Oryctolagus cuniculus: one gene and its partner. The protein of the gene in region 1 binds, or shares a complex with, the protein of each later gene. Links are inferred from orthologs where the notes say so. Each region holds a gene or a part of one and is shown on either strand. Other genes may lie near its edges. The genes, in order: ERCC2 and POLR2G.

Region 1 (3,798 bases):
CATATGTTCATTCAACGAATGAGCTGGGCCCAGCACTGTGGAAGCAACAGAGCCACAAGACTGCCTTCCGAGACCTGGCTGGAGGGGAAGCTGGTGGGCGGGACCCCCAGCGCTGGTGCCTACAGGGCGCGGGGGGCTCTGGGCGGAGTCAGGCCTCAAGCAACCCGTGGAGCTGCCTCGGCCAGGGGCCAGCGTGTGCAAAGGCCCTGGGGGAGTGAGCTTCCGGGTCAGGCAGGCAGTTGTGAGCAACCAGGAAGGGGGGTCGGCATAGGGGCCCCACAGGCCATCCTGGACCCTGAGAGGAGCGTGGAGCCACGGCCGGCTCCTGAGCAGGGCGGGCACGACCCGGGGGTCCTGCAGGACGCCGGCACTGAGCCCGGGTGGGAGGTGGCGGCTTGGGCATGTGCAGGAGCGAGGCCCTGGACCCCGGGGGAGTACAGGAGCGAGGCTGGGTGCTGCCCTTTTGGGATCCCCCCGTGAGCCTGTGCAGGAGCCGCCCTGGGGCTCAGGGGGTGGAGTCTGGTTCCTGACGGACAGGTCAGGTGCGGCGGTGACCACGCCCGCAGCCCAGGGTCTCACCGCCCGCGCTCGCCTGCTGCAGGCTTCACCATCATCATCGAGCCCTTCGACGACCGGACCCCCACCATCGCCAACCCCGTCCTGCACTTCAGGTGAGTGCCCGCCTGGGCGGGGGCCCCGGCCCCTCGGACCCAGTGCTCACGGCCCCGCCTGCTCCCCACAGCTGCATGGACGCCTCGCTGGCCATCAAACCTGTGTTCGAGCGCTTCCAGTCGGTCATCATCACGTCGGGGGTGAGGACGCTGGCCCCGCCAGCCCCGCCCCACTGAGGCCCCGCCTCCCGTCCCCTCGGCCCCGCCCCGCTGAGGCCCCTCCTGTCCCTGTCCAGACGCTGTCCCCGCTGGACATCTACCCCAAGATCCTGGACTTCCACCCCGTCACCATGGCAACCTTCACCATGACGCTGGCCCGGGTCTGCCTCTGCCCCATGGTGCGTAGGGAGAGCGGGCTAGGGGCCCACCCCAACCTGGGCTCGGCCTGGGAGTGCCCCGAGGACTCGGGCAGGGAGCCCAGTAAGAGCCAAGTGGCCCTGGCCCGGGTCTGCTCCTCTGCGCCTCCTGACGCGGTCCCCAGCCCTGGCCTGGCGCCCAGCATGTGTTGAGCCCAGGGCTCACCGGGAGGAGGAGGCCTTTCGGAGTGTGTGTGCCTCAGCCCCTCCCGTGTGCCAATGGCAGGGGGCTGAGAAGCGGCCCGAGGGGCCTGGGGAGGCCTCTGCGTGGACCCCGGGCCGGTGCTGCCCTTAAACTGTGTGCCAAGCTCCAAACGAGCAGGGGACTTGGCCCTGTCCTTTGGAGGCCGTGGCCAGTCCTGAGCCCACGCACAGCTGTAGCGTTCCCACTGGGTGGGCGTGAATAGGAGTGACGGGGCCGGGATCGCGCCTGGTGCCCGCAGTGCAGGCGAAGGGGTGGCTGCTTCCCCTCCTCCTCTCACTCACCCCAGATCGTCGGCCGCGGCAACGACCAGGTGGCCATCAGCTCCAAGTTCGAGAGCCGGGAAGACATGGGTAGGCGCCTGCGCGGTGGCTGCGGGGTCCCCAGGCCCCCCCGGGGGGGGGCGCTCCACTGTAGGCACCCTAACTTGAGGGCTGGGAGGGGTGGGAGGTATGAACGGCCCTTGAGCTGGCCTTGGCAGGGTTTCTGGGCACCCCGAGTTCAGGGGGCGGGGCCAACGTGTGACCCCGCGCAGCGGTGATCCGGAACTACGGGAACCTGCTGCTGGAGATGTCGGCCGTGGTCCCCGACGGCATCGTGGCCTTCTTCACCAGCTACCAGTACATGGAGAGCACCGTGGCCTCGTGGTACGAGCAGGTAGGCACCCCCGGCCTGCCGGGGGACTGCCCCGTGCTGCTCGGGGGCACCTGGTGCAGCTCGCAGCACTGGGTGGAGCAAACCTCTCTGGGGAGGAGAGAACCTGGCCGAGCATGTACCAGGGGATGGCGGGAGAAGGCCACTCATCGCCCGCGGCCGGGACCGTGGCCTTGTCCTCGGGCAGGGTGGCTGCAGCCCCAAGGTCTGCTCTCACCGCGGCCCTCTGGGTCCCCTGACACCTCGGCTGCCCTGGGGCTCCTGGCTCAGCCAGCTAGTGCACGTGGGGGGTGGGTTTCCTGCGGGAATCCCAGTGTAGCCTCTGATTGGCTCTGTCGGGCTTTCAGTCAGCCGCTCCACCAATCACTGGCCAGGGATGTCCTGATAGACACCCCGCGGCCGGCCACAGATTTGTCCGAGGGGCGGGGCGAGCTGCATGGCGGGGGCGGCGGCCGGGCCCTGACCTCGCGGGCGTCCTGGCTCAGGGCATCCTTGAGAACATCCAGAGGAACAAGCTGCTCTTCATCGAGACCCAGGACGGCGCCGAGACCAGCGTCGCGCTGGAGAAGTACCAGGAGGTGAGCGGGCCGGGCGGGCGGGCGGGCACCCAGCAGGGGGCGCCAGGCCGCGGCTCACGCCTCCCCCGCCCCCAGGCCTGCGAGAACGGCCGCGGGGCCATCCTGCTCTCGGTGGCCCGGGGCAAGGTGTCCGAGGGCATCGACTTCGGTGAGTGGACCGCTGTGTTCGGGCAGGGGCCACCCCCGTGCCCCTGCCGGCGCCGTGCCTAACCCCTCGCCCGGCCCGCAGTACACCACTACGGGCGAGCCGTCATCATGTTCGGCGTCCCCTACGTCTACACGCAGAGCCGCATCCTCAAGGTGGGTGCCGCGGGCCGCGGGGCAGGGGCGGCGCGGGCCGGGCCGCGGGCGGGGCAGCGGCCAGCTCGCGGCCTCCTCGCCCAGGCGCGGCTGGAGTACCTGCGGGACCAGTTCCAGATCCGGGAGAACGACTTCCTCACCTTCGACGCCATGCGCCACGCGGCCCAGTGCGTGGGCCGGGCCATCCGGGGCAAGACCGACTACGGCCTCATGGTGTTCGCAGACAAGGTCTGCCCCGCGCCTCCAGAGCGGGAGAGGGAGGTGGCGGGGCAGAGGGCGGCTGGGCCCCCGCCCCCCGCCTGACGCCGCCCTCCTCTTGCTCCAAGCGGTTTGCGCGGGCCGACAAGCGGGGGAAGTTGCCGCGCTGGATCCAGGAGCACCTGACGGACGCCAACCTGAACCTGACTGTGGACGAGGGTGTCCAGGTCGCCAAGTACTTCCTGCGGCAGATGGCACAGCCCTTCCACCGGGTACGGCCCGGCCACCCCTCCTCCAGGAAGGGCCCTGGGATGTCTCCCTGCCAGTGCCAATGTTTGCAAACAGCCGTCCCTGGCCCCTGCAGGAGGACCAGCTGGGCCTGTCCCTGCTCAGCCTGGAGCAGCTGGAATCCGAGGAGACGCTGCGGCGGATTGAGCAGATCGCGCAGCAGCTGTGAGCCTGGACCGCCAGCGCCTGGCAGGCCTTGAGGTGCCTCCCGCGCTCCCCGGGCCCTGCAGGAAGCTCAGGCCGATGCCTCAGGGACTGCAGAGCCTTTAATCGCAGGGGGTCCCCGCCCCGCCCCCCGAGTCCTGCTGAGACGCCAGGCCCACGTGATCCGGCCTCACCGGGGGCTCAGGTCCTGGGTGCTGGTGCTGAGGCTCCTCGGGGCCTCGCTCAGGCGCCAGCTGCGGCCCTGGGGACAGCAGGGGCGGTTGGAGGGGGAGGAGGGGCGGGCACAGCTCCCCACCCCCGCCCGGCCCCTCACCTGCGGCTGAGCGCCCGCAGCCCGGGGCCCGTCCGTGGGCAGCGTGTTGAGCGACACGGCTCTCTTCATCCTG
Region 2 (4,387 bases), on another chromosome or scaffold:
CTGAAAACATCTTTAGTATGTTTTTATCAAAAATTTTCTTTAAAGATTTATTTATTCATTTGAAAGGCAGAGTTACAGAAAGAGTGAGAGAGAGAGAGAGAGAGAGAGAGATGTTCCATCTGCTGGTTCACTCCCCAAATGGCCACAATGACCAGGCTAGCTCAGGCCAAAGTAGGGAGCCAGGAGCTTCCTCTGGGTCTCCCACAGGCCCCTGTTTCAGGGGCCCAAGGACTTGCTGCCTTCTCAGGTACATTAGCAGGGAGCTGGATCAGAAGTAGAGCTGGGGCCAGCACTCCAGCCGTTGCCGCCATTTTGGGACTGAACCAGCAGATGGAAGGCCTTTCTTGCTGTCTCTCCTTCTCACTTTCTGTAACTCTACCTCTCAAAATAAATAAATAAATAAATAAATAAAATCTTAAAAAAAAAAGTGGAGCTGCCAGGACTTGAATCGGCATCCATATTGGATGCCAGTGCTGCAGGTCATGACTTTATCCCACTGCACCACAACGCCAGCCGCCAACAATTTTTTTAAAAAATATTTATTTAATTATTTGTAAGTCAGAGTTACAGTGAGAGAGAAAGGAACAAGTCTTCTATCCACTGGTTCACTCCCCAAAGGGTACAACGATGAGGCCTGGGCCAGGCCAAAGCTGGGAACCAGGGGCTTCTTCCAGGTCTCCTCTGTGGGTGCAGGGCCCCAAGCACTTGGGTCGTTTTCCACTGCTTCTCGCAGGCTTTTGGAAGGGATTTGGATCAGAAGTGGAGCAGGGGCTGGCGTTGTGGCATAGCGGGTAAAGCCGCGGCTTCCATTGCCGGCATCCCATATGGGCGCCAGTTCGAGTCCCAGCTGCTCCACCTCTGATCCAGCTCCCTGCTATGGCCTGGGAAAGCAGTGGAAGATGGCCTGAGTCCTCGGGCCCTGCACCCACGTGGGAGACCCTGAGTAGGCTCCTGGCTTCAGATTGGGCCAGCTCCGGCCTTCGCGGCCATTTGGGGAGTGAACCAGGGGATGGAAGACCTCTCTCTCTCTACTTCTCTCTAACTCTGCCTCCCAAATAGATAAAACCTTGAAAAAAAAAAAAAGGCTACTATCCACCTAGATACTTAACACCACATTGACTATGGGAAAGCAGTCTGTAAAATACTTGCTGAATGACTCCGCTGTTAAAATAATTATGTCATCTTTCACCAGGAATTAATTCAGTTTAAAATATTCAGTTCACAAATACTTTAAGTTACTTGGCGGAGCGGGCAAGGTTTGAGCGCCAGTCGGAGGAACCGAGGGGCGGAGCTTCATCAATCCTCCACAGGGAGGCCCAATCGTATCCATCGACTGGAAGGAGTCCCGCCCACTTCCGGCGGACCCGGAAGCGAGGGGCGGCTGCGCGGCGTGCGCTTCCGGTGAAGCCAGTGGGTCGGTGTTTGTAGCGCTGGTGGCGGCTTGTTTTAGAGTCTCGTCGGGGAAGATGTTCTACCACGTGAGCAGGGCGCGGGGTGATGGCGAGGGCTGGGTCGAGAGGAGGAACGGGGCGCCGGTGCGGAGGGCTGCTGCTTGCCCCGTATCCTCCGTCTGCGTTCCGCTGTCTCCGCAGATCTCCCTGGAGCACGAGATCCTGCTGCACCCGCGCTACTTTGGCCCTAACTTGCTCAACACCGTGAAGCAGAAGCTCTTCACCGAGGTGGAGGGGACTTGCACTGGCAAGTGAGTACTGTGGCCGTGCGTGTGGTCTCGGCGGCGCGCACACGGGACCCTGTACCTGCAGCCGCCCCCCTCCCAGCGTGGGCTGCAGCACCTTGCCACCCACGCTGGGGAGCGCTCCGTAACTTCCTTCAGCCTAGATTTCTCATTCTTTTACTGCGCGTTTTTCGAGCTCCTGCTGTGAGCCGGGCCCCGTGTTGGGCCCTGGGAACATGCAGAGAACAAGATGGAATGAGGCCAGCACGCGTGGGGCTCACAGTTTAACCCTTGTCCCTCGGTTTCTGCTGAGCCCAGGGAGTTGGCATGGCACAGTGTGTTTCCTGAGTGAATGACCAGAGAATGCGGGTCGACGGGGTGAGGAAGGAAGGAGGCTGGGGCTTGACTGTCCTTGGGTTCTTCCCAGAGCGGTAGGAGTGGACTGGAACTCAGCTCGGGGCCGGGCGGTACTTGAGCCTACAGCAAAGCCAGATTACCCTGGATGCACGTTCGTTCCTAAGACTCCTCACATCTCTGGGGCAGGCCTGGGACTCTGCCTGCTCACACGCTCCTCCCAGGTGATTCTGAGGCAGCTCGAAGATTGAGGTCAGAGACTGCAGCCACTTCGGATGTTTGTTGTGAAACAGGAGAGCAGCGCGTGGCCTTTACAGATGCTGATCCCTGCCCTTTCTCTTGGTTCTGAAGCGCTCTGGGGGCAGAGATGCTGTCTGCTTCCCCTCTTAACCCCTTCCCAGGCTCGATGACTCTTGCTGCAGATGGCGTTAGAGGCCCTTCCGCATATAGAACCTTTCTCTTTCTCATCCTCCTCACAGGTATGGCTTCGTCATTGCTGTCACCACCATAGACAACATCGGCGCAGGAGTGATTCAGCCAGGCCGAGGCTTTGTGCTTTATCCTGTTAAGTACAAGGCCATTGTTTTCCGGCCCTTTAAAGGTGAGGTCGTGGATGCAGTTGTCACTCAGGTCAACAAGGTGAGTCCTCACATAGAGGAGGCAACGGGGTGGTCCCTGGGAGGAGCTGGTTTGGGTCCCTGCTCCTCTTGCTAACTCTGTGCCTTTGGCTAAGTCACTTTTTTGTACTTCAGTTTCCTCACTTGGCAAATGGTTCTAGGAATCTTGGTCCTGCCTCACTCAGGAGGCACGTGATTCAGTATTAATAGTCGTAAGGGTAGAGTCCTGGGGCCAGCGCTGTAGCCCAGCGGGTTAAATCCATGACATACGGCACCGACATTCCATATGGGTGCAGGTTCAAGTCCCGGCTGTTCCGCTTTCCATCTAGCTCCCTACTAATGCTCCTGGGAAAGTGGTGGAGGATGGTCCAAGTCCTTGGGCCCCTGCACCCATGTAGGAAACTCAGAGGAAGTTCTTGGCTCCTGGCTTTTGCCTGACCCAGCCCTAATCATTGCAGCCATTTGGAGAGTGACCCAGCAGATGAAAGATTCTCTCTCTCTCTCTCTCTCAAGTCCTAGGTGTAGGCTCTTTACTACTGCACTGTTTTTACTTAACTTAAAATGAAAGATTGGTGCTGGCATTGTGGTGCAGTGGGTTAGGCTTACTTACATTCCAGTATTGTTGAGTATCAGTGTGCCGGTTGGCATCCAGGTGCTGTTTCCTGTGCTACTTCCTGCTAATGTGCCTGAGAAAGCAGTGGAAGATGACCCACGTGCTGGGGCCTTGCCACCCACGTGGGAGACCTGGCTGGTATTCTGGGGTCTTGGGTACAGTCCCAGCCACTGGGGCCATTTAGGGACTGAACCATTGGACAAAAGATCTGATTCTCTGTTTTTTCTGTCACTCTGCGTTTCAGGTACATAAAATAGCTAAATACATAATGAAATGTTAATAAAAAAGAGAAGTGCAAACAAATGCCACAATTCATACCGGTCATAGAACATGAGTAAAATTGTAGGAATCAAGTAAAAATGGGAACAAAAGACTTGGAGGGGAAGAAAAAGCGAAATCATTCGTTTTCCTTGTAGGTTGGACTCTTCACAGAAATTGGGCCAATGTCTTGCTTCATCTCTCGACACGTAAGTCTGGGACACCGGGTAGGCTGGGACACCGGGTAGGGGCTAGAAAGATGCGCCCGTTTGTGGTCATCTACTGAAGCATCTGTTGAAAGTGCTGACCCTCCTGGGTTCTATACTCATCTCTGGCTGCTGACTCCAGCCTCTGCTAATGTGCACCCTACGAAGGCGGTTGGTGATGGCTCAAGTGACTGGGTCCCTGCTGCCCTGGTGGGAGACCTGGACGGAGTTCCCAGCTCCTGGCTCTGGCCCCAGGCTTGGGCCACTGTGGGCATTTGGAGAGTAAATCAGCGGATGGGTATTCTCTGCCTCCCAAAGAAGTGTATAGATAAGGAAATGACAGTGTTGACCTACTTTGACTTTTCCTTTCAGTCTATCCCATCAGAGATGGAGTTTGATCCCAATTCCAACCCACCATGCTACAAGACAATGGATGAGGTGAGTGGGGAGGAAGACGTCAGGCAGAGGGAGGAGAGATCAGGGCACTGGGAGGGAGAGTTGGCCTGGACGTGTCTTGAGGACCCTGTTCCCTCCTCTGCCCAGGACATTGTGATTCAGCAGGATGATGAGATCCGCCTGAAGATTGTGGGGACCCGAGTGGACAAGAACGACATTGTGAGTCTCGCTGCAGCAGGCAGGGCTGAGATCTGGATTCTTTCCACCC

Evidence for each region.
Region 2: ERCC2 (region 1) and POLR2G share a complex: the UniProt entries of both Homo sapiens proteins name them as parts of the TBP-based Pol II pre-initiation complex. The link is inferred for Oryctolagus cuniculus from reciprocal best matches to the Homo sapiens genes ERCC2 and POLR2G.

Annotation. Positions count from the first base shown.
Region 1 is NC_091449.1:11,485,299-11,489,096, forward strand, and holds part of ERCC2 (general transcription and DNA repair factor IIH helicase subunit XPD), read left to right. Parts: intron 1-601; coding exon 602-671; intron 672-742; coding exon 743-812; intron 813-907; coding exon 908-1,009; intron 1,010-1,518; coding exon 1,519-1,582; intron 1,583-1,764; coding exon 1,765-1,886; intron 1,887-2,368; coding exon 2,369-2,461; intron 2,462-2,536; coding exon 2,537-2,609; intron 2,610-2,690; coding exon 2,691-2,761; intron 2,762-2,845; coding exon 2,846-2,989; intron 2,990-3,087; coding exon 3,088-3,231; intron 3,232-3,323; coding exon 3,324-3,416; 3' UTR 3,417-3,448; intron 3,449-3,493; exon of another isoform or gene 3,494-3,581; coding exon of another isoform or gene 3,582-3,653; intron 3,654-3,725; coding exon of another isoform or gene 3,726-3,795; intron 3,796-3,798. Other genes in the region: KLC3 (kinesin light chain 3), read right to left, coding at 3,582-3,653, 3,726-3,795. UniProt on the Homo sapiens protein: ATP-dependent 5'-3' DNA helicase. Component of the general transcription and DNA repair factor IIH (TFIIH) core complex, not absolutely essential for minimal transcription in vitro.
Region 2 is NC_091432.1:8,823,434-8,827,820, reverse strand, and holds the start of POLR2G (DNA-directed RNA polymerase II subunit RPB7), read left to right. Parts: upstream 1-1,326; 5' UTR 1,327-1,466; coding exon 1,467-1,478; intron 1,479-1,592; coding exon 1,593-1,702; intron 1,703-2,508; coding exon 2,509-2,668; intron 2,669-3,675; coding exon 3,676-3,726; intron 3,727-4,095; coding exon 4,096-4,161; intron 4,162-4,266; coding exon 4,267-4,338; intron 4,339-4,387. UniProt on the Homo sapiens protein: Core component of RNA polymerase II (Pol II), a DNA-dependent RNA polymerase which synthesizes mRNA precursors and many functional non-coding RNAs using the four ribonucleoside triphosphates as substrates.